Notamacropus eugenii: one gene and its partner. The protein of the gene in region 1 purifies or fractionates together with the protein of each later gene. This does not show direct contact. Links are inferred from orthologs where the notes say so. Each region holds a gene or a part of one and is shown on either strand. Other genes may lie near its edges. The genes, in order: TCTN2 and TCTN3.

Region 1 (11,674 bases):
CTGGTGAGAAGCAATGCAGACTGACAGGCGTATGGCAGCTCAGCAAGTTAGTCAGTTGTCCGGGACACCAAGAGTGGCCCACAGAGGCAATGATACAGCCAGGGATCAGATGGGAAAGACAGCACTGGAGCCTGGGTCTTCCTGACCACAGAATCATGCTGCTTCTCAAGAGTGATGTATTTCTACATCCTTCACCTAAGAAATTAAAGGCGATGATGGTGTCCCTACAACTGACCCACTGCTTTTTAGAAAGGGGTCTTCAATCACTCCTAATTCTGACTAATGCCCTTATTTATGAGCTTCAAGCCTGGGCTCTATCCTCAGGCGCACATGAAAAACTGGTTGATTTTCTAATGGGATCTTGTGTGAGTCTTGCAAACTTGGCTTGTTTTTTTAAAATTCACAAAGCAAATAACCAATAAAATATGATGCTGGGAAAGCTTTCCCTGGTGCTTTGGGCACATGATTGAAATACTTACCTGATGCATTCTGGGCAAAGGAAGCATTAGGGTAGATTTCGACCTGAATGAGTAGGTGCGCCAAACAGAATGAGTTGCGAGATGCAGAAACCACAAGACTTTCAACAACACAGGGATAGTCAGAGAAGAAATCTGTCTCTGAGACACAGGCCTGTAAATCACCATTCAATCTTACGGTCACTTCTGAGCCCATCTGGGGAAAAAATCCTTGCTTTAGTTCTCATCTTACTGTGAAAATACATTTATAATCACAAACATCCCACGCATTAAGGATGCCCCTGCTGATTTTACTGGCATGTTTGTTTCTTCCCTCCACCAATAGAGAGGACCACCTGGATTTAATCACTAAGGCCTAAGAAACTGCTCATTGCTCAGAAACCTAACTGACTTGCCCAGGGCAAGACTGGCCTCTAACACTCTGGTCAGTGACTTTCCTAGGACCCCAGGCAATCTTAGTTTATACATAACTATCCCCATTTTTAGAGATAAGGAAAGAGGCTTCAAATCACCCAGACACTAAGCACCAAAGCTAAGACTCAAGTCCTGCCCTTTGGTAACGTCCCTGGGTCTCAGTTCCTTCATCTGAAAAATGGGAAAGTGGGACTTACTGGTGTCAGAGGTCCCTTCCAGCCCTCAATCTGATGGTCCACATGACCCTAGGACCTCCCTGACTTCATGCCCAGCCGTCCTCTACACTTGGCCATGCTGAAATCCTCAAGATGAAGCCATCATGGGCCAATGCCCAAAGCGAGGTACCTCACAGACCCACCTCCCCACCACCTCTCCCAGTACTCCACATCTTCATTGTCCTGGGCTTAGGCCAGAAATGAAGTGGGAAGAGCTGAGGATCTCAAACTCTTTTATAGCTTTAAAATTCTATAACTGACAGCACAGGCCTTTATCCTAGAAGGGACTCTAGGGATTGATCATCTAACTCAACCCACCTGTTTTACAGATAAGGAAGCTAAGGCTCCAAGCAGTGACATGACTTGCCCAAGGTCACACAGGTAATTTTGGCAAGAGTGGGCAGCACCAGGATTATCCCCATTTTCAAAGGGAGGAAAAAGGCTCCCAGTCACTTAGATACTGACTCCTGGAACTGAGACCTGTGCCAGATGACAGGTCTACATTCTCCCCACTGTGCCACAATGGCATATGCCATGTCTGGCCTCGCATTTAGCCCTCCTTCCATGACACCTGGATCTTCACAGCAAACCTCACTGTCCCAGGACCACAGATCTAGGTCTGGAAGGACCTTCAGAGGCTATCCACAGAGATCAATCCCCTCATTTTACAGAGGACACTGAGTCCCAGGAAGGGGGAAAGGGACTTGTGGAAGGTCACACAGGGAGTGATTCAAACTCAGGTCTTGCGAGTTCAAGTTCACCATTCTCCCTCTTGTACCCACTTCCCACCCATGGCCAGATCCTAGAAGGAGACAATAAAAGAAGAACAAAACTGAGATCTCCATGAAGAATGAACAAGCAACAGTCTGTCACAACAGCTTGGTATCTTGGAGAGTCCTGGGTTCAAATTCTACCTCAGACATTCACTGACTGGGACTAAAAGACAATCCCTCAATTTTTTTGAACCTCAGCTGCTTTGTCTGCAAAATGGGGATACTAATCCCTGTAGAACATGTATTCCAGGCTCATCTGAAGAAGGCTGAATGAGAGGCTCTAGAGAAGCCTGACTTGTAACACCCATTTTAACTGAACTAGTGAGTCTTTTCACTCAACAAACATTAACTAGCAACAAAGCACCAGGTACCGAGGCTGGGAAACATTTCTTGCCCTTAGGGAGGCTGCAATCTACTGGGGGTAAGGAGGAGATCAGAAAGTAAAAGCCAAGCACAAAGTAAATGCAGAGTAATCTGGGGAGGAGCTGGATGGTAGGAACTTGCTGGAGGGCTCCACTGAGGAGGTGGTACTTGGGCTCTGCCTAAAGGAAGCTAAGGAACCTGGGAGAGGGAGGGGAGGTAGGAGCACTTTCCAGGTCGGGGGCTCATGTCTTAGCTGAGAAGAGGAAGGAGGCCAGGCTGGAGCAAAGCAGAGTAAGTAAAGAGAAGTCAGGGACAATAAGCCAGAGCACAAAGGTAGCAGAGGAGTCTGGAGTTTATCCCAGAGGCAACAGGGAGCCTTGGAGCTTGCTGAGGAGGGGGTGACAGATATGACCCTAAATGGAAAACGAAGGGCGGCAGGTGGTGCACTGGATAGAGCTCCATCCTGAAGTCACCTCAGACACAGCCTAGCTGGACCAGTCCCTTCACCCTGTTTGCCTCAGTATCCTCAGCTGTCAAATGAGCTGGAGAAGGAAATGGTAAAGTACTCCAGTATCTCTGCCACGAAAACCCACAGAGAGTCTGAAACAACTGAAACAATCGAATAACAAATAGAAAACGAAGAGATTTAACATTGAACATACCATATCGGGAGTCACGGTCAGACTCCAGTTACTGGTCCCATTATTCTGCAGTCCACAATCAGGAATGGGCAAAATCCCTAAACAAGAGGAGGTAAGACCAGAGAATGTTCTCATTCTACCTTTACGCCCTCAGAAGGTTTAAGGACGTTCTCCTCAGAGAGCATAACCTTGCCTTGCAGCTGTCTCTGAAGCAGAAAGCAGCCCCCTTCCCCTTTGCCCATTCTCCAGACTGCCAATTCTGGAAGTCACAGGATCAGACCTTGGAGAGCCAAAGGCTGAGGGAGTATTCCCCTTCCCCCAAGGGCAGACTGGGCCCGAAGCCCTCTGTGTTTTCAGTAGGTTTTCCCAAAGCCAGCTGCTTAGCCTCCTTACCCAGCTCACCATCCCACACAGCGAGGCTCACACTGACATCCTCAGTATCTCCAACCAAGGCTGCACTAACCGAAGTATCAAACATTCGAATGAAAGGAGGGAGAAAAACTGGCAAAGAGAAGAGTCAGGCGTTAATACCACTCATGTAAGGACCATGAGGAACCCCTGAAAATGAGACTTAGAGCTTTATGGAACATGAGAATCAAGCAACCCCTCCTAAGCATGTGCATGCAGGACTGCAGGGTTAGGGTCAATAAATAACAAACATTTATTAAGCGCCTATTGTGGGCCAGGGACTGGACTGAGAGGAGGGGGGGATACAAAGAAAGGCAAAAAACAGTGCCTGACCTCAAGGAGCTCAATCTAATGGGTAAAACAAGAGCAAACTACTCTACCATATAAGATACAGATGAACAGATGAGAAGGAATCTCAGAGGGGAGTCCCAGGAGGCAGGCACTGGGGGACGGTCACTGTAGGTTGTGGCGATTTTCCTTTGCTCCAATGCTGGCAGCAGAGGTGGCCCCTTGCTGGGAATAGCCTAGTCCTGGGACTTTACTCCCTTTCCCACATCTAGTCTCTGCAAGCTACAAGGATCTCCTCAGGATCCCATAGCCAGGAAATGTGTGAGCAGGATTTGAACACATATCTTCAGGGAATCCTAGATCTGGAGCTGGAATGGACAGTAGGAGCTATCTAATCCAGCCTCCTCAATCAAGAGTGGAGGAAACCCGAGGCCCAGGGAAGTTAAATGATTTGCCCAGACTCATAGAGGGAACAACATCGCAGGTGGATGTGGACCTGGGTCCTTGAGACTCTAGAGCAGTGATTCTTTACTTGGACTCTGTGAATTGGCCTCTTTAATAGATTGGTAATTATTTCAATATAATTAGTTTCCTTTGCAATCCTACGTATCTTATTCCATGCATTTAAAAACATGGTTGTGCCAAAGAAGTCTGGGGCAGAGAGGTGGTTAAAACCCCTGCTCTGAGCTGGCATTCTTTTCACCAGACTCCGTATGGCTCACTCTCGGGACATGAGGTTGCCCATTGCCTGGTACGGACAGTCAGTCACCCAGGCACTCTTATTCCAAAACTAAAAAAGGCTTCAGCAGGTGCAGCTGTGGTAGCTGCTACAAAAGCCTAGTTCGAAAGTTAGCAGTTATTTAGCACTTTTTATGTTACCTCATTTTAATAATAATGATACCTGGCCTACGTGCAGTGCTTTAAGGTTTGCAAAGCACTTTACAAATAATCCCTCCAGGTTAATAATCCTTATTATCATTAGTAAGAGCTAGCAATATATAGTGAGCAGTTCTATAGGTTGGCAAAACGCTCTACAAATATTATCTCTAAAGAATAATAACAGCTAGCATTTATACAACGTCTTAAAGTTCGTAAAATGTGTTAAGATATCTCATTTTAATAATAGCTAACATTTTTATAGAACTTTAAGGTATTGCAAAGAGCTTTAAAAATATCTCTTAAAATAACTGTTGTTGAGACATTTTCAGTTATATCCAACTCTTTGTGACCCCATGTTTTCTTGGCAGAAATACTGGAACGGGCTGCCATTTCCTCTCTAGCTCATTTTACAGATGGGGAAACTGAGGCAAAGAGGGCGAAGTGACTTGCCCAGGGTCACACAGCACAGAGCTGGTCTGAGTAGGGATTCGAGCGCCCCCTCCCCCGCCCACAGCCCCGCCCACAGCCCCGCCCACAGCCCGCCCATAGCACAGGCCCCGCCCCCTGCCCGAAGCTCCGCCCCTACCCACCAACGTCTCCCCACAGGGCCCTTGGGAAGCAGAGAGGGAACAGGAGCAAGAGCCAAAGCTGCGGGGCCGATGGCGGGCAGGGCCCGGCCGGGCCCATGGCTCCCGGCTCGCCTCCCCGCGCTGCCCCACCGATGCCAGGGCCTGGCTCTGCGATCCCCGGCAGGCGGCACGAGCTAGGGGCGCAAAGGAAAAGGCGTCAGCCGCGCCCGGCCAGCCGCCGCTGCCATCTTGTCAACGGAATGCCCAGGACTAGGCAACCGCCAATCAGCTGCAAGCGAAGAGAGCGCGCCCCACGATTGGTCTAAAGCGACGGAAAGGACCCGCCTTCCTTCCCCGCCCATTAGCGTCACCTCGCGGCCCCGCCCACCTCCTCCTGGGAAGCCCTAAGTGGGTTGCATAGGAGCTTGGTGGACGGAGCTCTTGGCAAATATGCATACTTATGTGTCTTCTATATATAGTTATATTTTAAACTATATTGATATGTCACATATGATTTATATGTATATTTATATAGAATAAATATCTATTCATATGTATGTATATGATATATATGACAACGTATAACAAATATAAACAAGTAAAAATAATAAAAATGAGATATTCGTAAAGATGAGATAAAAAGATAACGACTTGCAACAACGCACGCGTTTGAAAAAAACTGTAAAAAAAGTTGTATAAATGCTTACTCCCTCTCTCAGAATCCCTGGTGCTTAACAGGTTCTTGTCTCCATAGTCAACAATTCAGCTGACTTTTTATTATAATAAAGGATAATGAACCTGTGATTTTATTGATAGAGAGAAGTCCCAGGTGAGGAGATCCCTCGCTACTTCTCCACAATGTATAGTCTTGTTGAGTTGCTTAGAATACAGAGAAGTTAAATGACTTGGTCAGGGTTATACAGTCTGCACATGTCATTGGCAGGTTTTGAACCCAGCTCGAAGACCAGTTCTTTTTCCTCTATGCCACTTATTACAATACAGAGCCTAATAATGCCTTGTATTTAGGCAAGTCAATATGTATTTGTTAAGCACCTACTATGTGCTTAATTGCGCTAAGTGCTTCAGATATAAGAATTTATCAATAAACCCCTATGAGCTGTAAATTATGATTATGTAAGGCCTTAGGTTGGGAGCTGCTCATTTCTTTCAATATTAGCCAAAGGCATGACATGTCTTAGTTATTACATCAGAATGTAACTCTTCTTTGCCCAACTGTTGCTTCATTCGGTTAGAGGAGGCATTGGGAGATACAGTCTTTAAGACAAGTTATGGGTAGCCATGTTTGGCTCCACCCATCCCCACCACTCTCTTTACTCTCTCATAAGGAGCCCCTCATTCTTGGACATGGTCAAAACTCGAGAGCTAAGTTACAGTCAAAACCCAACAAAAGGAGGAATTCCTATAAATCTGGGTGACACCCACCCAGAGTAGATTTTTCTTTTCCCTCTAAACACATTGGTTGGTAAGAGGAATTTGGCCTGTGATTGCTCTAGGATTAAAAGTGTTTGGCTTGACCTCTTATGATTGAGGCAACTGTGAGCTCCAATGGGGGGGCATTCTCCAACCAAAGTCAACCAAGCAGGAACTAGGTACTCTCTCAATGCTCATCATTTGCTCAGCCAGCTGTGACAGCCTGCACAGGGCTAGGAGGGCTTTAGTAACACCAAGAAAGACTGGAATCCTAGGAATAAATCTAGAATCGACAATGGATGCCAAGCCAGGGATCCCTGCCTCTTTTTTATACAGAAATGTCCCTTTCTACTCCCTTTATCTTTCTGACCTGATGGCAGCATCAAAGGCAGTAGCCAACACTTTTCTCAAGAAACAGAAAACTCTTCTCTGGGTAAGATGGATACAGAGATTGGGGTATTAAGACTGACCCAAGAGGACCAATATAGTTTATGGTGCAAGTCTCGAAAATACAAAGAAGGAGGCAAAATCTTAAAAAAAACTTTTAGAGGGAGGACTGGACTATGATGTCACTGATATTGGAACTCCCACTAACAAAATTCCCTCTCCCATATAGTCTTAGAGAGTTGCCTAGACTACTGAGAAATTAAATGACTCAGGGTCATATAACTGGTATGTCACTTGGAGTTGTATGTCACATACAGTTGTATGGCACCAAAGCAAGTTGCCTGGAGTCATGGAGCCAGTAAGGTCTTTCTGTCTCCAAGGCTGACTCTCTCTACCATCTCTATGCTACCCTTCAAAACTCCTTTAGCAATCAATCAATCAACATGTACTAAGCACCTACTATGTGCCAGGAACTGTGCTAAGCACAGGATACAAAGAGGCAAAAGAAAATCCTTGTCCTCAAGCTTACAATCTAATGCAGTTTTTTAAATAGATTTTTTAATGAAGTCTTTGCATATACCTATATCCAGGAATCCTCCTGTATTCCTTCCCCTTGTCTTTCCCAGAGAGCCATCCCTTGGAGAATTTTTAAGACAAGGAAAAAAAGGAAAAGAAAAATAAGCAAAACTGGTACATTGAAAAAAATCCGAGGTTATATGCAATATTCCAAACCCATGGACCCCCACCTCTGCTGGGGTGAAGGGAAAAGATTGTCATCTCTTCTGTCCTCTTTGGAGCCAAGAATTACAAAATTCTTTGTAATTTTGCAATATTCTGTCTCAATTGTTTTCTGGATATTATCCTTTCCATTTACAATGTTGTAGTTTTCTGGCTCTTTTACAGTTTACAGAATTTCATGTTGTTTATTTCATCACACATACATCCTTTCATGTCTTCCTATGCTTCTCCGTATTCATATTGTCATTCCTTACATGTTATATCATGTAATAATAATCATATTATATTCATGTACCGGGTACCAGTCCCCACCAATGGGTGTCTACTTTGTTTCCAGTCTATGCTGTGAACAAAAAGGGATGCTAGAAATATTTTGCTGTGTATGGACCCTTTCTTTTCATCAATGACTTACTTTCTTGGGTCTGTGACTAGCAGTGGAATCTCAGGATCAAAGAAAATAGTTTTTAGTCACTTTATTTGCATAATTCTACATGGTTTTCCAAGATGTTTATGCCAATTAACAGGTCCACCAACAATGTCAGTGTGCCTGTCTTCTGTAACACCAGTGATGTTGTTTTCTATTCACATCTATCCATCTTTGGGTGGAAGATGAAACTTCAGGGTTGTTTTGATTTTCATTTCTCTTATTGGTGATCTGGGGCATCCTTTTATCTGCTTTCTAGTAGTCTGTAATTCTTCTTTTGAGAACGGCTTTGTTTGAAGAATATGTTTCCATATCCTTTGACCACTTTTCTATTGGGGAATGCTTTAACAATTTAAATTTGTCTCTATGAGACAGTGTGTTTCATGACTAGAGTCCTGAAGCTAGAGGCAGGAAAATCTAGGCTCAATAACTAGAATTGTGTTAGTTGTATGACTATGGGCATACCACTTACTCTCTCAGAAGCCTGACTCCCCAACTGTCAACCAGGAATAAAAATTCTTACCTCACAGCTTTATAATGAGGCTCAAATGAGTAACTAATAACCCCAGAGTTTGTCAAATGTGCTCTGGGTTTGGGGGCTATGACAAAAAATGAAAGTGTCTGCCCTCAAGTAGCTTAACATTCTGTTGAGGGGAGACAAAAAATGTGTAAATACAAACGTCAGCTTTCACGTGCTGGTCCCCAAAAGGTAAAGTCTTTCAATGATCAATTAGTTTTCTAATTTATACAATGGATCTGCGTATGTTAAACACTCTTCCTTCTTCAGCTATGCATGCATGACCTATAGTGCAGTTGTCCCAAGTTTTACAACAATTCAGTACAGTAAATAAAACATGGGCTTAGCATTTCAGTTACTGGGTACATGATAATGATAACAGTAATGTCAAAATCATAACTAGCATTTATATAGCTCATTTGTACAAAGAGGTCGCAATAGTACTTATCAGGGTTGTGGTGAGGATAAAATTATATATATATATATACGTGTGTGTGTGTGTCTATATATGTGTATATACATACATACATACAATAAAGAGAGAGCACACTTTACAAACCTTAAAGCTATATAAATGCTATTATTTTTATTATTGGAATCCATTCTAGGTCTGGGGGACAAGCCTATGCAAAGGCACAGAAACAGGTGATGAAACGTGGTCTCATCCTTCTCAAAGCAATATTAACCATTTTGGAGTTCATGGATGAAGATTTATCCTGCTCAGTAAATTAAGTGAAATAGGTTTTTATCTTAATGTTATATTTCTTGCCCCAGTAAACTAATACACAACTGTGTGCTTAAACAATCCAGATAAGGGATACTTCCAGCCTTGAAGGAATGTACTCTAATAGGAAGGGAGCAAGCTAGAGGCATCGAGGTGGTAAGCCTGGAGTTGGGAAGACCCACGTTCAAATGTAGCCTCATATACCTACTAGTTGTGTGACCCTGAGCAAGTTATTTAACCTGTTTGCATTTCCTCATCTCTAATAGGGAGATCATAATAGCACCTACCTCCCAAGGTTGCTGTGATGGTTAAATGAGATAAAATATTATAAAGCACTTAGTATGGTGCCTGACACAAACTGGGGACTTTATAAGCGTGTTTCTTTTCTTCCTAGTAGAGAGTCTATAACATATGGATACATGATTATACTGTATGACAACTACATTATAAAAGCAGGAAACAAGGTGCTTTGTGAGATGCTAGGATGTTGAGGGCATGGGTAAAGAATGGGGAAAGATGTTGACTGAAGAGATCCGGAAAGTTTCATGGAAGAAATGATCTGTTAGGCTGTAAAAGATGGGCAAAAAGGCATTCCTGGCAAAGGTAACTCTGCAAGGGGTGTGGGGGGGGGAGCTTTCCTTCCTCTGTGCACAGGGTGGGTTCAGTGTCTACCTTGACTGACAGGCACAGGGAAGAAATAGTAGATGAGGCTAGAAAGGGAGGGTGGCACCATATTGTTAAAGTCCTTGAATGTCAAGCAAAAGAGTTTGAAATGTACATGGGAGCCAATGGAGAACCACTAAGGGTTTCAGAGCAGATAGTAAGGATGATTAGAAAGGTTCATCTGGCCATAGTCAGAAAGATGAATCATGGAAAAGACAGAATGAAGACAAGACTTGTTAGAAGGCTATATACCATAAGAGGCCCTTAATAGCATGGTGAAGTGGATAGACTGCTGACCCTGGAGTCAGGAGGATCTGAGTTCAAATCATTTAGTCTCAGATACTTACTAGCTGGGTGACCCTGAGCAAGTCACTTGTTTGCCTCAGTTTCCTCATCTGTAAAATGAGCTGGAGAAGGAAATGGCAAAGAAAACCCCAAAATGGGATCATGGAAGACTCCGATGTGGCTAATCAACAAAAGAGTTGTTGATTACAAAGCACCAGTGAAAAGAGAGAAATGGGTGGATGCAGTGGAATTAACAGGACTTGATGGCCAAATGATTTGTGAAATGAGGAAAAAGGAAGACTCAAAGATATTACTAGGGTTTTGAATCTGGGAGTCCAGGGGATTGTAATGTGACTTACAGAAACAGTAAAATCGAGAGGAGGAACGTATTTTGGGGAAAGGAGAAGCAGCTCCATTTTGCTCAGTTTTAAGATGCTGAAGGGACATCCAAGTGGAGATACCCTCGAGGAAGCTGGAGATGCATGTCTGGATTTCTTAAGAAAGGACTGGAGGTACAGGTTAGAAGCATCTATGCTTCCATGATGGGTGAGGATGTAGAGGAGAAAATTTGCACAGAAGCGTGAACTATCAAGATGGTGGCCCTAAAGTCAAGGAAAAAGGGAATCCACAAAGCTGAAGGTTGTCAGCAGTACCAAATACCATAGAGAAATCCAAGAGAACGAGGGACTTTAAAAAATGCCAACGGATTTTGTGACTAGGTCGTGGGTAAGCGCATTTTCAGTAGTAGAAGACATGAAAGTCACATTTCAAGATGCTGAGAAAAGGGACTGATCATTCTTCCAAAGCTAAGAGAACTTTAAATACCTGGCCAATGGCAGCTTAGAAACCCCACTGAATAACTCTTCCCAAATAGATTAAGTTTCTTTCTTATCAGCATTATTTATCACTGTGTGTTTTCCACAAAGCACAATTATCCCTTCCATATTGTGGGAGTAGGGGAGTGGCATCTCAGTCTGGAAAATTCTTGTAAAATTCTTTGGCCCTTCCTTTGTACTAGAGATGAAATTTAACTTTTTTCTCTTATAGAGTGTTTACTGTGTCTCATTGTAAGATTTGGATTGATATTATACATCTATTTTATACACTTCTGAATTTCTAAACTTTTTCTGTATCATCTGCTGGCCTTTGAGAGCTATCTGCAGCTTCTACAAAACTCCCCCAAAATTCTCATTTAACTTCTTATGCCAATCCACGATATATCCAAAATGTGATAGGGAAGGTCTCAATGTGGAAGGGATAACTGGAAATCTTGCTTGCTAGGTGATCTGATGATAGAAAACCAATTTCTATGGGTTTCACCGTCTAGAGCAAGGGTGGGGAACCTATGGCCTTGAGGCCACATGTGGCCTTCTAGGTCCTCAAGTGTGGCCCTCTGACTGAATCCAAACTTCACGGAACAAATCCCCATAATAAAAGGATTTATTGTGTAAAACTTGGACTCAGTCAAAAGGCTGCACC
Region 2 (11,520 bases), on another chromosome or scaffold:
TACTGGTCCGGATGCAGAGAGGGATTTTTGTGCCCAGAATCTTAGCAGCTACCTCTCCACAGCCTCCTGGCCTCCAGTTCCACCAAGTCAGCACTGGGGTCTGATTTTCAGATAAGTTGGATGGGCAGGGCCCCTATTCAGTGTGAGACAAAGACCAGCTCTCCCAGGGCTTCCACCCAGGGCTGAGGTAAGACTCAGCTCTTCAGTGCCCCCAGGGGGTTTTATGCTCCAACAATGGGGTGGTCTACAGGCTGCTGTGCAGCCTCTGTGGCTGCTGCCTGCTGCTGGAGCTATGGGAAGGCCCTTCTCCCTTCCTGGCCAGCTGAAAAACCCCATCACTGACCTTTGGCGCCTGTGGGTTGAGGGATCTGAGGACCCACTGCTGCGACTGGAGATTCCGCCCCCGAGGTGTCCTCCTCCCAGGGTCTTGTTGTGCCAGGTCACATGCAGCCAACGCTGGGCTGGGCTCTGCTCTGGGTCTGGTGGAACCAATGTTTCCCATGGGCCTTTCAGGTCACCCTGGGCTGGAAATCTCCTCCACTCTGTTGTTCTCCACTTCTGCTGCTCCAGAATTTGTTGAGAGTCCCTCTCTACAGGTATTTTGTGAGCTGTGTGGGGAGACCCTGCGTAAGTGTGTCTTTCTAGTCCACCATCTTGGCTCCGCCCTCCCCCCCCCGGATGTTCTCATAGACAAATTCAGATGATATTATAGAACATTGCTATGGGTCACTTAATATTATCATATTTTGCCATTTGTATTACTTCAATACTGCCAACATCTCCTAACTTAGCCAGGCTTAAAGTACATCAGAAACTATTCTTCAGTGACAGTATCCATGGAATAAACTGCCTACTGCAGAAACTATGCATTTTGAGGACCCCTATAGCTCAAAAGTTAATTTCTGGCAATGAGCACAAGAATGATTATGAGAATCCCAAGATTTCAGTGAACTTCAATTTTGTAATCTACCCTGACCTTTTACCCAGAGTAAAGCGTATCCAAAGATGGTCATAAATAGAAAAATATCTTTTCATTCAGTACCAGTGCTCCAGTGAGCAATATTATCATCAGCTTTATTAATAAGATTAACATATACATATATATGATCATGTCTAATATTGTTGATTTTTATGTTAATATCAGAAAGTCGCATTGAAGAGCTAGAGGCCTTACTTAACTAATCAGATGCTTTCAGCTACAAATGTTGCTCTAAAAGCCAGAAGTTCATGCAGTATGTGTGATATAGCAGAAATGATAGAAAAAAATTCCTAGAAAAAAATATTTATTTCAAGTATTAGTCACACTGTTGAAATGCTCACCCAACATTAATCATTTGTTATTCAGTAGAAAATAGACCATCATAGCAAATGCCCCCAAATTGCTTCATTTGCTTAGAACTGGTTAAAAACCAAATATTTAGAAAAATCAGCAAATGTGTATTTGTGTATGGGTAGGCCTTATTTAACATGTGCAACTTTGTCCTCTACTAATTATTTCCATAGGCACTACAGTTACTTGCATAAATAACAGCAAATAGCATCTGACAGATACTAAAATTAAGACTAAGTACAATATTGCAAAAAGCCTACTACTGGTACATGTGCTGGTGCACTGTTTGATGCACATAAAACCAATTCTAATCAAAGCCTTTTGGGGCACTGAATGGAATTTACTTTGCCTTTGTTGGTTCTCCCTCTAACCAGCACACCCTAACTTTTTGTTTATAGGTGATACTCCTTTAAAAAATCTTTTAACATTGATGGTAACGGGAGACCATCAGTCCCATCTTATGTAGTGCACCTACAGATTTCCATATGGCATGTACACTGTAAGAAAAGTCCTATTTAGTGATCTAGTAAGCAAGAATTCAAAAAACATGCAACAACTTGGAACTTCATAATGTTCTAGAAGCCCTGTTACGGTGGAATGAAACACTCAGGGATCAGGGACATTGAAGCTAAAATTGTACTCCCACTGCTTGTTGCATGTGTGTAGGCATTGGTTCTATAAAAGGAAGACATAGTCCTGTTGCTCAGAGTCCCTGAGTGAGAAAGTGCCTTTGGGCTTCCCTTGGAGGAGGGCTTCCTTTCATAAGGGTCCATCAGTCTCCAGGCCTATTCAATGAATGGGCATTACCTCACCCTAAGTGAGTACCTAATAGGCCTTGGCCTAAAGGGGACAAGGTCTCCCATTGCATCCTGGGCCTTCTCCAGTCATCTTGATGAATATCTGGTCACTGGATTCAGATGTGTCAGGAGGAGAAAGTAAGGCTGGTGACCTTACATAGCCCTCTGTCATTCAAATCAAAGTCAACTGCAAGTCATGTCATCATATCTCTGATGGTATGGTCTTCTTCAGCAATGAAGGACGAACACAACAACAAAAAGCAGGAAGAGACTTGGGTTTAACCCCAAGTCTAGTCACTATTTCTCTAAATGATCTTGAGCAATTCACTTCACTTCTATGGAATGCTGTTTCTTTATCTGTAAAATGAAAAGGCTTGACAAAGAAATCAAAGAGAATAGAAAAGATCTCATAAGTACAAAAATATTTATAACAATTCCTTTTATAGTGGCAAAGGATTTGAAAATCCAAGGGCATTTGTCAGCTGGACAATGGCTGAACGAATTATTTCATATCAATGTAATGGAATATCGTGTTGTGAGAAATGACGAGACTTTTCAGAGAAATCTCAGAAGAACTGGATGAACTAATGCAGAGTGAAGTGAGTAGAACCAGGAGAGCAACCTTCACTATAACAACAACAATGTAAAAATGAACAATTTTGAAAGAACGTTGATTAACTCAATGACCAGTCATGATTCAAGAGAATCACTAATGAAGAATACTAGATTAGAGAGATGACAGACTAAATATATAGAATGAGACACATTTTTTGGACATGGACAATATGAAAATGTGTTTTGCTTGACTATGCATATTTTTATGGGTTTTTTTTTCCTTTTTTCTTAGGGGGAGGAGGAAGGTGAGTAGAAAAAATGTTTTATAATTTTTCAAAATAAAAATGAAAGGGCTGAAGTGGATTTCTATAATGTCTCTGTCTGTTCTGGCAGTTTAGAAACCACAACTAACTCTAACACATACAACTATCCTCTCATTTAAGACACATATTTCCTCAGTATAGAACCAAGGCAAGGTGATCATAGATTTACTCCAGGGCACTGAAATTTTTAGGGTGTGCAATAACATTTGGACTTCTTTGGGAGCATAAAAACAAATATATTTAGCACCTAATTAGCAAGAACAATTGAGAAGCTACCTATTTTCCTCTTTACTACTATATTCCTTAATCTAAAACTTCCCTGCTCCCCAACATAACTTTCCCATGCAGCAACTCATTGTGGCAATTCATCATGTTGCCCTATTCCACCATACCCCCTTAAATGAAATTTTTTAAAAGGCATAATACTATCCTGGCTCCAGTGTAGATACATCCAGACAACCCTCTTTACAAAAGCTTAATTGAAGGGTGTGCTTCACGCAACTTGCCCTGAGTGACAAAATTGCTAGTTACAACCTTGTCTCAGCATTACAGGTTATTGTGCTATGATATTGTGGACTACTTCATACATGCTCTCCAGTGCTACATATAACTCTGTTTTTATGATGATATGTTCAGTTCAATGTCATTTCCACTTTTATTTCTACCACATGCTTGAAATGCTTCTTAGTCAATATGCTCTGATACATCACTTATATGCTAACACTGCATGTTTGTTTTTCAAGTCAGGACAACAAGCATTTATTTCACACTTACTATGTGACAGGCTCCATGTAGAGTACGACCTGCTTTTCAACCTTGTTTTGGTAAATATCATCAAGCCAGTCCTGTTTGCATTGTTTTATCTGCAGATGTCTTCTATAGCCTTCAATGCATTGCTAACATAGCTATTTTCACTAGAAGTCCCAAAACTGAGAATTCCAGAAGGATTATGGAGCTTTTAATTCTCTCATTGAAATACTAGGACGATTTGGATCCATTTTTTAAAAAAAATTGCAACTTACCAGGTGATCATTAACTTTGCATTAGATGTTTTGCATTGTTTTAATAATATGTTTTTGGTTCTTTTGATCAGCAATATTTATCAAATGGAGTTGATTATTCAGATAGTATGTCTGTGATTGTTTCCCTTTATTTTGTAGGGAGAATATGGTGGTGATGACCATGACCTAAGTTCCACTGAAAATGAATATGCTAATATAGATTAAGACCAAGTAAGACACAGGAAGGTAAAGTTTATTTTTGTTCACTTCCAAATCCTACTACATATGGTACCCTTCCCCCATGGTTTCCACATGCCTACTATGAGGATAAACTTTCTGGCTGCTGAATGGAGCAATGATAATAGTGATAAAACACTTCTCTTACAGATGTGTTCTGATGCATCTTGGAAATTTTGGAAGCATAGAGACCATATATCTGATTTCAAAATTGTAGTCTACTAGGTAATTATCTGAAGAAGGAAGAAAACCCTAAGAGAAAATAGCTTTACATGTTTCATGTTTTATTGTTCAAATCCTGCTCAATGTTTAGTTCTTAGATTTAGTGCCATGAAAGGAAGAGAAATTCCATTTAAACACTAGAATACAGCCTTCTTGAAAAGAGAGAGGCAAGTCTATCATCCTGAAGCTGGAGGCACAACCTGAGACTACTGGTACTATTGTAAGCAGTTACAAGTAGGAAAATTCAGAGAATGTGGCGTTTCTGAAATCAAGGGAGGAGAGGGTACAGTAGTAAGAACTGGTTCACAATATCAAATGCTGCAGAGAGGTCAAGGAAGTTGAATTGTGATAAAAAAGGACATTGGGTTCAGTGACTAGGAAGTCATTAGTGATCTAGTTTTAAAAGTATAGAGAAAATGGAAGATAGATTGCAAAGGGCAGAGAAGAGAGTGATCGGTAAGAAAGTGTTTTTCTAGTACAGACAATTAATCACATCTAATAGTATCTATATTGCTGCCTTGAAGAGATTAGACCTAATTATGCAAGACAGAAGTGGGTAACTCTCCCAACCTAATTCATTTGACCAGTGACTAGTTTTCTAAAATTAGGCATCCATTAATCCTGGCCTCTATCATTAGGATTAATAATAATAACTGACATTTATATGGAACATTTATAGTCAACAAATACACTTGTGCCCACATCTGAAAGTTCCCAATTGCCTAAGTGACTTACTCTGGAAAGATTCTCTCAGTTAAGTTTTAGTGGATCCTAAGTAGATATACATACTATAAGAGCTACAGGACTCAGAGTGGAAGGAATCTCAGAGACCATCTCTTCTAAAATGGTACCCACATCATGGATCTCCTGTACAACACTTTCCCACTAGTCATCCAGTCTAAATTTGAAGACCTACTGGTGACAAGTTTATTGCTCCCTAGTCTTCATTTAGAGAGTTCTAATTGTTGGAGGGAAGGTAGAAGTTTGGATAAAGGCTCATCAGGTTGGGATTGGGGTAGGTTTAGTTGGACCAGCAAGTAGAAGATATTGCAATCCGCTTAGGTGAAGAGTGCAGAGGGCTGCAGAGAGGGGAACCTGGGTAGTTAAAAGATGACTGTCTTTTTACCTCTCCTTCTCCCTCTTTATTTTCCTACTTACCTCTCAATTCTTTCCTTGCATCCAACCACTTTTCTCACCCAAAAGTACCTGTCCCTCCTCTTCTTTCCATCTTTTCTTCTTCTCTTTTCTTTTAACCAGCCAGCTATGGAACTGATGGTTTCAACTGACACCCTTTATTTATTGAGTGGACGCTTATGTTTTAATTTTAGCAGCTGGAGAGCTGGATTTTTTAAAGATTTTTCCTGTGGAATGTGGTTATGGGGGTGGCCCTTTTTTCCATGGGATGATTGACTTTTGAGCAAACTGGACTGAAGTGAAACCAAGATGCCCAGATGTCTTCAGCCTCATTCTCTCAGTCCAGTGGCAAGACCAGTACCAGCCTGGGATGCAGGGAATGTCCTTGGCACCTTCAGTATCCACAGTGACCTTCTTCAGGCTGCTGGAGCAAGTTGACCTCATCAGCCCATTCCTGGGAAACCCAAGCTTCCCAATACATTTGTATCCTCGGTGTCCAGCACACTACCTGGTAAGCAGCAGGTGCTTAATAAAAGCTTATGGACAGATTTCTCATTTTTTTAAAAAGTGGAACTTTCCACTCACTTCTCTTACAGATGTCTGTGACCATCAATTTGGTTTTTCTTCCTTCCTCCCCTCCTAAGTTTATGGCTCTAAAAAGTCAACGCTCTAGCTCAGGCGGGTCCCTTTCTCCTGGAAGTCGCTCCTCCTCCTCCTAAACGCCAGGGGGCACTGCAGCTTTCTAATGGAAGGTATTCCAGTCAGCATCGCAGTCTCACTGACCGGCCGCACAGGCCCATCTAGCGGAAGGGCTGCGTAACTGCACCGGCTCTCCGAGAACTCAGTAACCCGAACGTTGCCAGAGCAAAATCGCGGCGCGCAACCACCGCGATTTCTATTGGTGAGTGCTCTGCCAATAATCCCAAATCTCGAATAAGCGAGCGTCTACGGGATGAGGTCACACGTACTGCGTCTCCCGCCCTCCTCAAGCCCCGCCCCCCGCCGGTGCCATAGCAACCACGCGCCAGGCGACGGCGGGCCCTTCAGTTCTCGGGGCTGTGGAGGGCTTGGGGGCCGCAGACGCTTCATGGCCCCGGCGCCCCTCGAGCTGCTGGTGCTCCCCTGCTTCCTCCTGGCGGGGGGCGCCAGGGCCCAGACTGAACTCCCGCCCCGCGGAGGAGCTGTCTCCACGGCGGGAATAGAGCCTCCCGACGCCATGACGCCGGGGCTTCTCGTGGAGGAGACGACGCCGGGGGTCCTCCTGGAGGAGACGACGCCGGGGCTTCTCCCGGAGACGACGCTGGAGGTTTTCCTGGAGGAGACGACGCCGGGGATTTACCCCGAGTTCCTGGACTTGACCCCGGACCCTTTCGCCACGGAAGCTGTGGAAGATGGGCACCAGCTCTGGTCTCAGTTCCGCCTGGCCGGGGTCTGTACGTGTGACCTGACGCCGACCTCGTGCGATGTGAACTGCTGCTGTGACCGGGAGTGCTACGTGAGCGGGCCCAAGACGCTGTTCTCCTTCTGCCTCCCGGGGAGCTACCGGTGAGCGTGCGGGGGCTACGGGGGAGCGTGCGGGGGCTAGGGGGAGCGTGCGGGGGCTAGGGGGGAGCGTGCGGGGGCTAGGGGGGAGCGTGCGGGGGCCAGGGGGGAGCGTGCGGGCGCCAGGGGGGAGCGTGCGGGGGCTACGGGGGAGCGTGCGGGGGCTAGGGGGGAGCGTGCGGGGAGCTACGGGGGAGCGTGCGGGGAGCTACGGGGGAGCGTGCGGGGGCTACGGGGGAGCGTGCGGGGAGCTGGGGGGAGCGTGCGGGGGCTAGGGGGGAGCGTGCGGGGGCTACGGGGGAGCGTGCGGGGAGCTGGGGGGAGCGTGCGGGGGCTAGGGGGGAGCGTGCGGGGAGCTACGGGGAACTAGGGGGGAGCGTGCGGGGGCTAGGGGGGAGCGTGCGGGGAGCTGGGGGGAGCGTGCGGGGGCTAGGGGGGAGCGTGCGGGGAGCGTGCGGGGAGCTACGGGGGAGCGTGCGGGGGCTAGGGGGGAGCGTGCGGGGAGCTACGGGGAACTAGGGGGGAGCGTGCGGGGGCTAGGGGGGAGCGTGCGGGGAGCTACGGGGGAGCGTGCGGGGGCTAGGGGGGAGCGTGCGGGGAGCTACGGGGGAGCGTGCGGGGGCTAGGGGGGAGCGTGCGGGGGCCAGGGGGGAGCGTGCGGGCGCCAGGGGGGAGCGTGCGGGGGCTAGGGGGGAGCGTGTGGGGGCTACGGGGGAGCGTGCGGGGAGCTGGGGGGAGCGTGCGGGGGCTACGGGGGAGCGTGCGGGGAGCTACGGGGAACTAGGGGGGAGCGTGCGGGGAGCTACGGGGGAGCGTGCGGGGGCTACGGGGGAGCTGGGGGGAGCGTGCGGGGGCTACGGGGGAGCGTGCGGGGAGCTACGGGGAACTAGGGGGGAGCGTGCGGGGAGCTACGGGGGAGCGTGCGGGGGCTACGGGGGAGCGTGCGGGGAGCTGGGGGGAGCGTGCGGGGGCCAGGGGGGAGCGTGCGGGGGCCAGGGGGAGCGTGCGGGCGCCGGGGGGGAGCGTGCGGGGGCCGGGGGGGAGCGTGCGGGCGCCGGGGGGGAGCGTGCGGGGAGCTACGGGGGAGCGTGCGGGGGCTAGGGGGGAGCGTGCGGGGGCTAGCGGGGAGCGTGCGGGCGCCGCGCCGCCTCGGAGTCCGCCAAGAGGGGCGAAGGAGGCCCGACCCGGGCGCCCAGCGCTGGGCCTGGCCCACGTAGGTGATGAACAGAGCCGGGTCACAGGGAGTACTGATCCGCCGCGGCTTCACTTGCCGGCGTGGTCCTGATGGCCGGTGCTTTGAGGACGCGTGTGTAGACAGACCTGCTGCCGGGAAGCAGCCCCGCCACCTGTGTGAGTTGGAGCTGGAAGCCCTACCCACCGCGCCTGGCATGGTCAGCCGTCCCGCCTCCGAAATGAGGCACCAGAGGGCCTCTGGTTAAAGCTTCCTGACGTGGCTCTGTTTTCTCGCCACCTCTCCTTTTCCTCATGCCTTTATGGTCTTCACTTCTGCCCCCGTGCTGTTGAAGCTGTTCTCTTAGAGATCACCACGTTGCCATATACAGTGATTGTTTTTCATGTCTTATTCCGACCATCCCTTGCTATTGGAAGATCTTTCCTCCCTTGGTTTTAGACATGCATCACTCAATAAATATTAAGCACCTACTCTGTACTGTGTACATTAGCGCAAAAAGTTAAACAGTCCCTAGTCATAAGATGTTTCCTTTTTAATGGGAGAGGTAAGTTCACGTAAAAATATATACAGCATAAATAAATGTGTGTGTGTATAGGCAAAGTAATTTAATACAAAGGAGTGTAGAAGTTGGAGATATCAGGAAGAAAGGCTTTATGCAGATGGTGCCACAGTTATATTTTAAAGGAAGAGAAAGACTGGTGGAGGGAGGTAGAAAGGGAGAACATTCCAGACCCAAAGTGTGAGTGAGGAGCAGAGAGTGGGCGTGTAAGAAGGGAAGTTATAGCCACTGAGACTTAAAAGGTAGGTTGGAGCCAGATTGTGTAAGTCTTTAAAAAGACTGAAGAGTTTATATTATATTGTAGAGGCAATTGGAAGCCATTGGAGTTGGTGAGTAGGTGAGTCAGGTGGTTGGTGATACTTGGGGCTAAGGAAATCACTTTGGCAGCAGAGTACTAGAAGACCATTTAGGAGACCTTGCCATTATCTAGGGGAGGCAATGAGCACCTGAACTAAAGTGTTGGGATGTTGAGAGGGTAGAAATAATCAGATTTGGCCACTGATTAGGTATGTGGGGTGGAGTTGAGTAAGGAGTCCAGGATGATAGCAAAGTGATGGACCTGGGACACTGACACATCATGCTCTTAGGGTTCTCCTGCCTCTCAAATGACTTTCTATGTCTCCTTTGTTGATTCCTGTCTTCTTTCCATCTTGGCTACATCCCAAGGTTGTTATCATGGTCTTCTCTTATCTCTTTTCACCCTCTCCCTTGGCATCTCATTCGGTTCCATGGCTTCAACTGCCACCTTTATGAGGATGATTCCCAAATATTTATCTTTTCTGAGATCTAGGCTCACATTTCCCTTGGCCTACATTCATCCAAATGTGTGAATGTTACCTGACTTCATTATGATTCTAACTGTGGTACCATCGTTCACCCAGCCTTCCTTGTTCATGCTTCATGTAAGACTTGGGAATGTTCTGAGGATGTACTTCTCACACTTACATTGTTGTAATTATTGTATGTATTATTTTCCTGGCTCTGCAAAGGTCATTCTGCATCCTCTAAATGTTACAATGCTTCTCTTATTTATCATTTTTTACAGTACAGTTATACTGCATTACATTCATGCACCACAATTTATTTAGTCAGTGATCTGTGTAATGTCCTCCCAGCTGACAGTGATGCCTCAAATTTTTCATCTGAGTCTTGCTCTATTATATTCCACCTTCTATCTCATACTTGTTTACGTCAGCTCTTTTCCCAACTTGTCTAATAGATTGTAAGCACAGCTATGTTTTTTACCTTTATATTCCCAGCATCAGAAGATAAAAGGTACTAAAGCAGTGTGTTTGAAAATTAATTTAAACATGAGATTTGTGCTATTTTTATCTTGTTAGATGTGTTTGCTTTGAAATTTTAGAATTCTGTACAGATACTTAGAATACAGTTTTCCTCTTAGTTATGAAGATTACTGCCTTGAAGTGGAATAATCTACTTTAAAGTTTCACACTCTTTTATGTCTTCGCAGGGCAATAGAATGGAAATGTGTAGACTCTACCGTTATTTTCCAAAGCAATGCCCCATTTTATTCAAGTATTTTGGAGATGCCAGATGAGGGTCAACAATTTTGTGTTCAGCTGAGAAACCGTGAGTTGAAAACATTCTCTTCTTACTTTGTAACGCATATGGGTGCTGGAATTATTTCTGACTGACTTTTGGATTGCTTCCTGTTTAAAAAAAAAATTCTCTGTATTATCCACCCTTTTTCTCAGCAAACTAACCTTTTATCTTCTCTCTCTTCTTCTCCTGCCCCAACATTTATTTCCCATGCGTCAAGAGTCTTGATAAATAGTTTAAAACTTTTAAGATCTTTAACTGACGCTGGAGGCACATTTAACTGTTTTAATGAATCTTCCATTAGCTATATAACCACAAGAAGATCTGTGCAAAAATGAAATGATTGTGTAACTGAATCTGAGACAATGTTGTATTTATTTATTGCATGTAAATGTTACAGTTAGACCATGCATTTGTCTTTGCAGTATACTGTCATAATTTTAAAATACAGTATACAAAATTAACAGAACTTATGAAATTTCTCAACAAAGCAAAAGTACAGCAGTACTTACATATCTATTTTACACGTTCAAGATCAGTAGATTTTGGCAGAAAGGAGTGAAGTTTTAGAAGTTTTGCTGATACCTTATCTTTAACACCCTGTTTAGTTCCCTGTTGAATGGGGAGCCCTTCCATCAGTTGTTTGAAACTTGGGTTTATTAAATACTGTGCTACATATTTGATTCCTTCTGGGTTTGGCTTATCTGTCTCTTCGACCTACCTTAAGTTAAATATTTCTTCAAAGTAGTCTTCAAGATTTTTGAGAGCTCAGAAAAGGCATGTGAAATAGCATTTTGCAGGAACTTGAAAGCATGGACTGAGGAATAGGGGAGGAAGGTGCCAGGTTCAAAAGCAACCTGGAATACTAGTCAGAGACTAGACTTTGAAACCTCTATTCATATCCCACTTCAAAGAGTGGAGAGTTGTGTGGTCATGGGAATGTTACTTCATTCTCTGAACATTAGCTCCTCTACGTGTAAATAATAATCCTCGTAATATCTACCTCTCAAGTTTATTTTGCAAATATGATATGGATGAAAGGGACTTGTAAACCTTAGAATGATATAT

What was found.
Region 2: the proteins of TCTN2 (region 1) and TCTN3 purify together in Homo sapiens (affinity purification with mass spectrometry; 3 studies listed by BioGRID and IntAct, with this or other methods). This does not show direct contact. The link is inferred for Notamacropus eugenii from reciprocal best matches to the Homo sapiens genes TCTN2 and TCTN3.

The regions. Positions count from the first base shown.
Region 1 is NC_092875.1:38,954,155-38,965,828, reverse strand, and holds the start of TCTN2 (tectonic-2), read right to left. Parts: upstream 5,304-11,674; 5' UTR 5,145-5,303; coding exon 5,048-5,144; intron 3,384-5,047; coding exon 3,276-3,383; intron 2,981-3,275; coding exon 2,904-2,980; intron 673-2,903; coding exon 480-672; intron 1-479.
Region 2 is NC_092872.1:212,355,252-212,366,771, reverse strand, and holds the start of TCTN3 (tectonic-3), read left to right. Parts: upstream 1-6,000; 5' UTR 6,001-6,551; coding exon 6,552-7,144; intron 7,145-10,363; coding exon 10,364-10,482; intron 10,483-11,520.